Linked DNA regions of Nothobranchius furzeri. The protein of the gene in region 1 interacts with the protein of each later gene in a biochemical or structural test. Links are inferred from orthologs where the notes say so. Each region holds a gene or a part of one and is shown on either strand. Other genes may lie near its edges.

What was found.
Region 2: the proteins of arf2b (region 1) and arfgap1 form a complex in vitro, tested with the Homo sapiens proteins (2 studies listed by BioGRID, with this or other methods). The link is inferred for Nothobranchius furzeri from reciprocal best matches to the Homo sapiens genes ARF1 and ARFGAP1.
Region 3: of the proteins of arf2b (region 1) and agap1, one has a biochemical effect on the other in vitro, tested with the Homo sapiens proteins (2 studies listed by BioGRID, with this or other methods). The link is inferred for Nothobranchius furzeri from reciprocal best matches to the Homo sapiens genes ARF1 and AGAP1.

Annotation. Positions count from the first base shown.
Region 1 is NC_091756.1:54,229,995-54,232,771, forward strand, and holds the end of arf2b (ADP-ribosylation factor 2b), read left to right. Parts: intron 1-1,720; coding exon 1,721-1,845; intron 1,846-1,979; coding exon 1,980-2,141; 3' UTR 2,142-2,173; downstream 2,174-2,777. UniProt on the Homo sapiens protein: Small GTPase involved in protein trafficking between different compartments. Modulates vesicle budding and uncoating within the Golgi complex. In its GTP-bound form, triggers the recruitment of coatomer proteins to the Golgi membrane.
Region 2 is NC_091743.1:50,659,305-50,663,060, forward strand, and holds the start of arfgap1 (ADP-ribosylation factor GTPase-activating protein 1), read left to right. Parts: upstream 1-1,609; 5' UTR 1,610-1,791; intron 1,792-3,756. UniProt on the Homo sapiens protein: GTPase-activating protein (GAP) for the ADP ribosylation factor 1 (ARF1). Involved in membrane trafficking and /or vesicle transport.
Region 3 is NC_091743.1:81,941,607-81,945,262, reverse strand, and holds part of agap1 (arf-GAP with GTPase, ANK repeat and PH domain-containing protein 1), read left to right. Parts: intron 1-3,061; coding exon 3,062-3,219; intron 3,220-3,553; coding exon 3,554-3,644; intron 3,645-3,656. UniProt on the Homo sapiens protein: GTPase-activating protein for ARF1 and, to a lesser extent, ARF5. Directly and specifically regulates the adapter protein 3 (AP-3)-dependent trafficking of proteins in the endosomal-lysosomal system.

The DNA.
Region 1 (2,777 bases):
TTTTGTAAAATGCTTCCAAACCTTTGAGCTACGCTGCCGGCGCGCCATGATATCTTGTTTCTTCTGTGTTTCTGATTCAAATGCTGATCTGGATCGCATGTGCCTCTAGGAAAAAGTGGCGACTGACCCGGACGTGACTACTGCACATGTGACTCGAGGAGAAAGACGGAGCAGGCGAGATTTAAAAAATGCTCATGGAATAAACGACTAGTTGACTATTACATTTATTGACTATTTTGTTTGCTGACGTCATCGTGACGCGTTAACTAGTCATGGCAGCACTAATTGTATTATGTACTGGTTGGCAATATAATCCAGTCTAAATTGCAGGGATGTGTATTTTTTAAATTTTGGCGATACATATCACGATACAGGGGAGACGATACGATATATTGCGATGCATTCAGTCAGACGTTACACGCAATTTTTTTTACTGAATTTGTTGTAAGAATGTTCAATAAACAGTCCAAACTGATACGTAACATGTTTAACATGAGGTATCTGAACCATGATGGAGGGATTTACATTTCAGTGGTGGAAACAAAACCCATTGCACACTGCTGCCAACTAGCGGGTGGTGATTGAATTGCACAAAACGAAAAGAAAATACACAAATGTTTTGCATGTAAATTCTTTCAAGAATTAGATACACGGCTTTAGAATATCGATATAATATTGCAGGAAAAAAATCACGATATTTTGCCATATCGATATTTTCTCACATCCCTACTAAATTGTATTCAAATATAGAGGTTTTTATGAATTACATGCTACAACGGCTTGTCATAGTCTGCTGTGGTGTGTGGAGCACTTGAGTCACTGACTCAGCAGCAACAACCTGACTCTGGGTAGCAGCTGCAGCGGTTCTGCCCCACACCGCTGCAGCTGCAGACGTCCACAAATAAATGGGATAGTGGAGATTTTTCTTCTGCTTGTAGATTCGCTACCATCACGCTTTTTTTCCCTGATCTCCACTTCATCGTGAGCGTCTTTCATGCTAGCTTAGCATTAGCCAGTCTTCCCGTAGTTTAACTCTTTATCCCAAACTTTAGGCTGTTTTTGTCTTTAACATGGGAAGGACTGCCTCCACCTTTTTACCACATTGTGTGCCAGTGAAATGTGCTCAGACTGTGGTGTGCACATTTAACGCTTTGAATCAGTACAAAATTAAGGAGTTTACTTGCTTTTGCCCCCCTAGTGTCCATTTGTAGAAATGAAACCAGAACCTATCTCCTCGGTCTGCATTTGTCTTTTTATCCCTTTAATCTCACAACTGAAGTGTCTCCCAGCATTCCTAAGTGTCTAGAGGGGTGATTCATTACTAAATTAAACAAATCGGCTTTGTTCATGATCTACAACATTTAGGAAATGTTCTGGAACCAGTCTGCAGTGCCAGGTAGGTTAGTTCAATTTTTTAAGTCCTAACGGACAAGACCAGAAACTGATGTTGCAAGTGTGATCTTCTGGCCACAGGGGGCAATAGGGGCTGGGTGGCCTTTCATTAACCCAGTAAAGGGTCATTTTGGCACGTACTGGCTCAAGAAAATGATTTAAAACTTTGAAAGTTGCAAAGTATTCCTTTATTGATTCTAACCATTTGATGTTTCAGCCCTTGTTAATTATTAACAGTGGTCTCAGAAGCCCCCTCCAACCAGGACACATGCTGAAACACAAACATGTTATCTGCTCACACATTAACTTGGTGTGTTTTTGCTTTCAGGGCTTATTTTTGTGGTGGACAGCAATGACAGGGAGCGAGTGAATGAGGCGAGAGAGGAGCTTTCCAGAATGCTTGCAGAGGACGAGCTCAGAGACGCTGTGCTGCTTGTTTTTGCAAATAAACAGGTAGGACTATCCAGGAGTGTTTAGCTACTATAGACTAAAGATTGGTTTTACTGTATTAAAGAGCTCATTTGTGTTTTGTATTTAAGAATGTCAGCTTTCAGATATCGTTGATGATGTTCACCTGCTCTTCCCAGGATCTCCCCAACGCCATGAATGCTGCAGAGATCACAGACAAACTGGGCCTACACGCTCTGCGCCAGCGCAGTTGGTACATCCAGGCCACCTGTGCCACCAGTGGGGACGGTCTCTACGAGGGTCTGGACTGGCTCTCCAACCAGCTCAAGAACCAGAAATGATCCATTCCACCTATTTGGGTTTTTGTTTGTTGTTAATTTTTTTTGTTTCAACACAGCGGCAGCACCAGACCCAGGCCCCCCTGCTCCCATCTGACCTAGTTCTGATCCAGCGCTTTCATGCTTTTCCTGCTTTCCCTTCTCGTCCATCCTCTCGGGGCTCGAGCTTGTGCTGCTCATGTGTGTGAGTGTGTGAGAGTGTGTGTGTGTTGTGTGTTCAGAGAGTGTGGGTGTGAAGGTGTGTGTGTGTGTTGGCTGGGATTAGGAGGAATCCCGGCGTGCCTTTTACACACCTGTGGAATCAGCAGTCTGGTTTTCAAGCCCCCCACCCCCATTCACCAACCTCATTCCTGCCCCCAACCCACCGCCCGGTCTGCCTCCACTCTCAGTCTTGCACGACCCCCTTCACCCCCCACCCTCCAGGCACGGGCATGGTTTTCATACGGCAAAGGAAGAGCAAGGGTGGAAGCCCCACCACCACTAAATCTGTTAACTAAACTCCCCCACCCCCTCCCACTAGATGTTGATTTGAGTTGTCTGATTTTGAACCGACCATCTTAACCTGTATCAGGTCAAAGCAAAGGGGCGCACATCCATGGTTGTTCTGCTGTCATCTGAAAATCATGCTGTTTTATTATT
Region 2 (3,756 bases), on another chromosome or scaffold:
GATGGATGAATATTAAAAGTTGATTTCCTAGTAAGTCAATGGCTGAAGCTAGCTTGAACAGACTCCTGAGCAAAATGAAAACCTGCATTTGACCAGATATTTTTGTAACCTTAATTCATGTTATATCTTCTCACCTGGAGTGTTGCAATGCGTAATCTGTTTTATGTGTCTTAGGCTTTCAAATTTTATGACTGTTTTTCAGTTTTTTTATTGCTTCTTTTATGCTTTGTGTCTTTTATGTTTGTGCATTGTTCTTATCTGTGCATCACTTTGAGGCAATGGCTGTTGCCATGAAAATGTGCTATATCAATAAAATTTGCCTTGACTTGACCTGACTTAATGACTTGTTTATTATGATCATCTTCTACTGTGTTATTCGTAATTATGTAAAAATGACATAAGTTCATAAGTTCATGTCTGCAGAGTTTATTTGAATGGATTGTGATTTCCATGGATTAGGCTCTGGTCAGTCATAGGTCATGAGAAGGATATAATCAATTTGTGTGCTTATGCTGATTGTTTTGCAGAAGATAATTAGAAAAAATGCTTCATCAAAAGAGTATTTCTTATGATATTTTGATAAAACAAAAACTTGAATTTGGTTCTACACTGACCAGGTTCAATGTTACAACTGAGTTTGCTATAGCTGACCTTATTTTGGCTCATCCTTACACCCAAACCCTCACCTGGTCAGGTATGGACTCAGCTAGACCTGTGAAGTTTTGTGCAATAAACCGCTATGTGCAGTGTGATTAAGCACTTGTCTATCAGAGGCAACATTAGGCCATTTAGCAATTTGAGCTGCAGCAGCATCTGTTGAGTCGGAAAAACTAGATCTCCTTCAATGAAACCTGACTTCCCATGCCCCGTCTCATTCTTTATTTATTTATTAGACACCTTGGGGGACATTGTGATTGTGGCAGGTGGACAGCATGCCACAAAAGCTGCAGTAAATCTCATTTCACATAATGCACTGTGTTCTGAATGTGTCTTATTTTGACTTTGACTTGGCTGTCTTTCATTTAACCTGCCGCTGTGTAAAGTTACATCCTGTTTCAGGTTCTTATCATTATCATCAGTCACAATCATTTTTCCTTTGAAACATAATGCAGTCGTTGCATGAAGCTGTGCTGTTATTATGTTGTAGCTATAGCTCCATATCAATGCACTGTAAAAAGAGTTTGCATTTGATTAGCAGTATCTAAATAGAGTAGTTTAGTAATGAAACAATCACATTTTGAAAAACTTGATGTTTAGTCACGTTTTTTATTCGAGCTCCAATCGTTTATTTCTTTCATTTCTGTATTGTCAGGTTTTCTTGATTTTAATTTTTTTAAAACCTTCATTGTTGTCTTTTCAATTATTCTAATGTGCTTGTGCAGCGCTTTGTGATTTTTATCTTGAAAAGTGCTTCACCATCATTATTGTCGCTACTATTACATCTATGACGTCTAATATCTGTTATTCTTGTGTTTTTTGTTTCAAGAGCAAAAGTAGTAACAATCTATCCTGACAGGGGGCAGTAGCGCGCACTTTAAACGCACTTCCGATGTAAAAGATCACAAAGAAAGCTTTACCCATGATGCATTTCTCTGCCAACGTATGCAAACAGGAACACGGCTACCGGCTTTTAACATCGGCGGTATTTTAATTACTCTTTTGTGGAGCCGATAGTCTCTGACAGCCCGACATCTGCAGCTCCGCGGCGACAGAAGAAAATCCTCCGGGGAGTTTATCAGCGGAGCCAACAGAGTCTGAAAGCGGCGTCCTTGTTGTTCACCAGTCTGTCAGGTAACACGGCTAGCGGCTAGCTTACATTAGCATCACGAATCTGCCAGCTCACTGAATTTTTATCAGTTTTGTGTCTATTACGAAGCCCCGCTTTTAAATATTACCCGAGATTAGGAGCATTAACCGCGTCACCAACTTATGTCAAGACGTTGCTTGATTTCAACATAACTTGTGAATAAAATCAAGACTACTAGTGAGAGGAAGCCTGACACGACTACAATTTACTGAGGAAAAATGGAATGTTACCATGACAGTCACCGAAATGAATTTTTCTGAAATTGGTGTTTTTTTACGGGTTACAGCAAGTACAAAAACATCTGTTGCGTTTTACATTTTAGTCTTGGTCGTTAAAAATTTTACAACAATAAATAGTGAAAGCTATTTTAACTAACCAAAAACTGTTTTCAATATGAATCTGAGAGGGAAACACGTCTGGAATAAGTAGTTTTCTGTAGAAAATCTGAATGTAAACTACATTTTTCAGTTTCAGCTGCTTTTTGAACGTTCTTAAATCACTGCTGAAAGGTTTATTATTTGACAGCCATTTGCGTTCTGATTCACTCCTGATAATCTGACTTCCCTCTCTGGCCTCTGGCACTTTAACATAAACCATAATCATTTGTGATATGTGGATATGCCATAAATTTGTAGCTTATATGTATTTTAATTTCGAGTAATCATAGTATTAATTAGCATCTGCCATTCACATTTTCATTTGTTTCTCGCTCCATCATTCTGTCATTCTTTGGAAAATCCTGTGGTATTCCGAGGCTCTACCAGGCTCTGGGAGATCTGTCGTTGGTCCAGCAGATTCTGGTTTTGTGTCCTCTTTAATGAGCTCCCCGCCTTATAGTTAAAGCTGAGGCCAGTAAAGCTGTTGACTAGAAAGCCAGTTTCACCACTTTGTTTATGGGATCTTGTTCTTTGAGTCATGATCCAAATCTCACAAGTAAAAATCACAAATGAAAACATGAATCTGGAGGGACCAGTAAATGGAAAGTTTAGCTTTTTGACTCAGCTTCTTCGTTACCACCACACGCTGGGGTAGAGTGTGTGTTTCTCCAGATGAAGCTCCATGCTATCATCACTTCTGAATAAGATATTGAGATATCGACCCCTTAATTTGAGAAATGTATCTTTTCCAACTTGGAGGAAGTTTTCCACCGAGTTCGTTGGAGACTTACTTGAGCTTACTTAACTCTTGGGTTTGTTTGTGTGTTGTGAAGCACAAGGTCAGATCTGTGCCAAAATCTAAATTTAAAGAAAGTTCATATTGGGTGCAGTGCTCAATGACAACACTTTGGCATTTACCTTCAGAGAAATGTACACACGGAGATGTATAGTGTGTCTGGTGAACACTGAGTAAGCCAGTAGCTTCAGGGTTGGGTGGAATTGACTGTTTGCCAAAAGTTGTTAATTTAGCCTGAAATCCACCTGGAAGAGGGCACCGTACGGTTGTGGCTCCTGGTTGAGTCTAAACTCTGACAACTCCTGTTGTGCCCCGAGGATATTATGATCCCATTCTCACTTAGCTGTTGCCAGTCTCTTCTTCCTCCTCTTTACCAGTCTTATTTTTGCCAGGGCGTTCCACTGACAGCGTGACAGGGAGCATCCCAGAATCAAGACTGCAATTAGTGAAACTAAGCTACTTCCTCTACAACTTATCAGTCCCTCCAGCACGTCAAAGCCTTATTATTATTATTATTGTTATTATTATTATTATTATTATTATTATTATTATTGTCCCAGCAGCTTAAAATAAGTGATGGGAGATCAGTGTTAGTCATCATATAATACCATTTGAAATCTGTCCGTGTTTGTTGGAAAAAAAACTCGATTTATTATATGTCAGCAGAACTCTTGAGTTATCTCCAAAAGCATGTGATCTGATGAGTGTTTAGGTGACTTATCTCCGGAAAGAATTAACCACGTTTTTTTAGCTGCAGCCAGCTGATCTCGTCTTCT
Region 3 (3,656 bases), on another chromosome or scaffold:
AGACCTTAATCCATCTGGGACTGGACCAGGATCCTTGTGAGTTTAGACCTGGGTCCCTGTAGGTCTAGACCTGGATCCCTGTGGGTTTAGACCTGGATCCCTCTGGGACTAGACCTGTATCCCTGTAGGTCTAGACCTAGATCCCTGTGGGTTTAGACATGAATTCCTGTGGTTCTAGACGTGAGTCCCTCTGGGACTGGACCAGGGTCCTTGTGGGTTTAGACCAGGATCCCTGAAATACAAGGCCTGGTTCCCTGTGGGTTTAGACGAGGATCCCTGTGGATCTCTCTGGGTCTAGACCAGGATCCCTGTGGTTCTATGCCTGGATCCCTGCAGGACTAGACCTGGATCCCTGTGGGTCTAGACCTGGATCCCTGTGGGTCTATACCTGGATCTCTGTGGGTCTAGACTTGGATCTCTGTGGGTCTAGACCTGGATCCCTGTGGGTTTAGACCTGGATCCCTGTGGGTCTAGACCTGGATCTCTGTGGGTCTAGACCTGGATCCCTGGGGGTTTAGACCTGGATCCCTGTGGGTTTAGACCTGGATTCCTGTGGGTTTAGACCTGGATTCCTGTGGGTTTAGACCTGGATCTCTGTGGGTCTAGACCTGGATCCCTGTGTGTTTAGACCTGGATCCCTGTGGGTTTAGACCTGGATCCCTGTGGGTTTTGACCTGGATCCCTGTGGGTTTAGACCTGGATCCCTGTGGGTCTAGACCTGGATCTCTGTGGGTCTAGACCTGGATCCCTGCGGGTCTAGACCTGATTCCTTGTGGGTTTAGACAAGGATCCCTGTGGGTCTGGACTTGGATCCCTGTGGGTTTACACCTGCATCCCTGTGGTTCTAGACCTTAATCCATCTGGGACTGGACCAGGATCCTTGTGAGTTTAGACCTGGGTCCCTGTAGGTCTAGACCTGGATCCCTGTGGGTTTAGACCTGGATCCCTCTGGGACTAGACCTGTATCCCTGTAGGTCTAGACCTAGATCCCTGTGGGTTTAGACATGAATTCCTGTGGTTCTAGACGTGAGTCCCTCTGGGACTGGACCAGGGTCCTTGTGGGTTTAGACCAGGATCCCTGAAATACAAGGCCTGGTTCCCTGTGGGTTTAGACGAGGATCCCTGTGGATCTCTCTGGGTCTAGACCAGGATCCCTGTGGTTCTATACCTGGATCCCTGCAGGACTAGACCTGGATCCCTGTAGGTTTAGACCTGGATCCCTCTGGGACTAGACCTGTTTAACTTTTGTTTATCTGCTTTATTTGCACTAATCTGGGTTTAGCTGAGTTCATCAGCCTCTGCCTGTAACCATGTGTGTTTCCTGCACCAGAACCCTGCCTGTACTTTACGTTTTCCAGTGCTGGCTGGTGTTGTGTGCTGGTTCTGGGGATGGTGACACCAAGTTGCCAGCTAGACCTGCAGCAAGCCTCCTCCTCCTGCAGATTTGGGAACAAATCCAGACCTCATCCAGAACCTGGGAACATTTTCCAGGTTATTAATGTTGTAAGATGCCTTGAATAATATGAGGAGTAATGACCTGTGTCTCAAAGCAATCCTGTGTGCGGTGACATTTAAGGCATTTAATTTGTGTTTCCTGTTCCCCCGTCTGCCCGCCTCACTCCTCCCCTCTCACGGCACCGTTTGGGCCCGGCGCTCTCGGTGATCGGCCCGTGTTGGCGGCCCACCCGCCCGCCTGCTGTAAATGTTCGAGGTTTGGTTGGTTCTGTTTGTGCTGCTAAAGGTTGCCGGTGTCAGAGTTCACAAATTGCCTCTGCACACCTCTCTCTACGCGAATGTCAGCAACAGTAGCCGAGAGCGGTGGCAGTAATTACCATTGCATCGCTCAGTGTGTGTGTGTGTGTGTGTGTGTGTGTGTACAGCAACAATGAGGAAACCCATTTAAACACAAAACAAACACAAATATTCTCCTAAGGCCTGAGAGAAAACTCTTTGTGTTTTGGTGCTAACAGCCTTTAAATTCAGGTTTTTATTAATAATTTTTAACTATTTAATCATTTATTATCTTATTTCAAATGTTGAATAGCTTCCTGGTAATTTGATGTCTTATTTAAAAAAATATGGTGTTTGGAATATAATTTTTGTTGTTTTACCAGATGAAACAGAAACATTTTTATCCTTTTTTTGTCTTTTTACCCGTTAAAACTGATTTCTTTATGTTAAAAATAAAAGCTGTTATTCCTGTAGATGATGCTGATGGCCACCAGGGGGCAGCAGAATAACCTGCAGGTGTAACTTCAGATGTGTTTAATTATTATGATGCCAATTTTTCACAACAAGAGTTCTGTTGGTGTCCCAATGTCCTGCTCGTCCTATCTGAGCTCAGATTCTGGTTCCTGGAAGGTGGACCTGGTTCCGCCGCCGCCCTTGTCAGTCTGAGTGTTTGTTCTGCTCAGAACAAAAACAGGAAGTGATGGAGCCTCGGGAATCAAACCACTGGCTGAAAAACTGCAGGAAACTTATTGAAGTGACCTTTAATGTTAAAATCTGATGAGTGCAGCTTTAAATGTCACGTTGTTTCACTCGTTCCTGTCGGATCTGAGTCCAGGTTGCCCCCCCAGCCACACACATACACCACCCCTTGTATTCATTAGCTGCTGCAGCGCCGGGTCAGCGTTTAAATCAGAAACAGCGTTTAATTTGTGGCTCAGATGGACAAGGCCTTTCTGGATTGTTGGTTCCCATAATTGCACCCCCACCCCACCCCCCGAGAACAGAGAATCATGGGAGTTTAATTATGATGGGGCCGTAGGGCCTGCAGGGCTGAGCTGGATCTAGAGAATCGGCTTCAATCCTTTCTCTTGAGTTTATTTTGGTTTTCCAGGAGCTTCCTATTTTAATTTTATTGATTAATTAACATTTTAACGGTTCTAGTCCTACAAGCATCTCACCACCCCTAATGAGTAGTGAGACAAAAGGATTTTTATTTAAAAACATTTATCTTTTTCTCAGCTTTCTTCTCAAATGTTTATATTTTGGTTGTGGTTTCAGACTGGGACTGGGTCCCGGTTCTGTCTGACCCAGATGTGAATTTTCTCTCCAGCAGAACAAGAGGAGAACTTTGAGTTCATCATCGTTTCTCTGACGGGGCAGACGTGGAACTTCGAGGCCACTTCGTACGAGGAGCGGGACGCCTGGGTCCAGGTGATTGAGGGCCAGATCCTGGCCAGCCTGCAGTCGTGTGAGAGCAGCAAGAACAAGGTAGGTCCAGGTTCTACTGATCCTAATGGTTCTGGTTATCAGCTGCTGCTTTGGATCATTTTGAAGGTCTAACTGGTAGAAAGCCAGAGTAAAGGTCCAGTCAAGAGAACATCCTGAGCTGAAGGTTCTCCTAGGTTTTGCTGTCCTCCAGAACATCTTCAGGCTTGTTTCTGTGTTTTGTTCCAGCCAGTAGACGGGGGTGAGCTGTACAGGTGCAGGTTAAAACTGAAACACTCCTGAGTCACCTGACACCCCCCCCCCCCCCCCCCAATGGACACCCTGAAAATAATGACCCCTGGACTAAAGATGTCCACACTAACATTTTGTCTTCCAGTCTCGGCTGACGAGCCAGTCGGAGGCGTTGGCCCTGCAGTCGGTCCGGAGCATTCGAGGAAACGGTCGCTGTGCCGACTGCGACGCTCTGAGTGAGTTCAGCG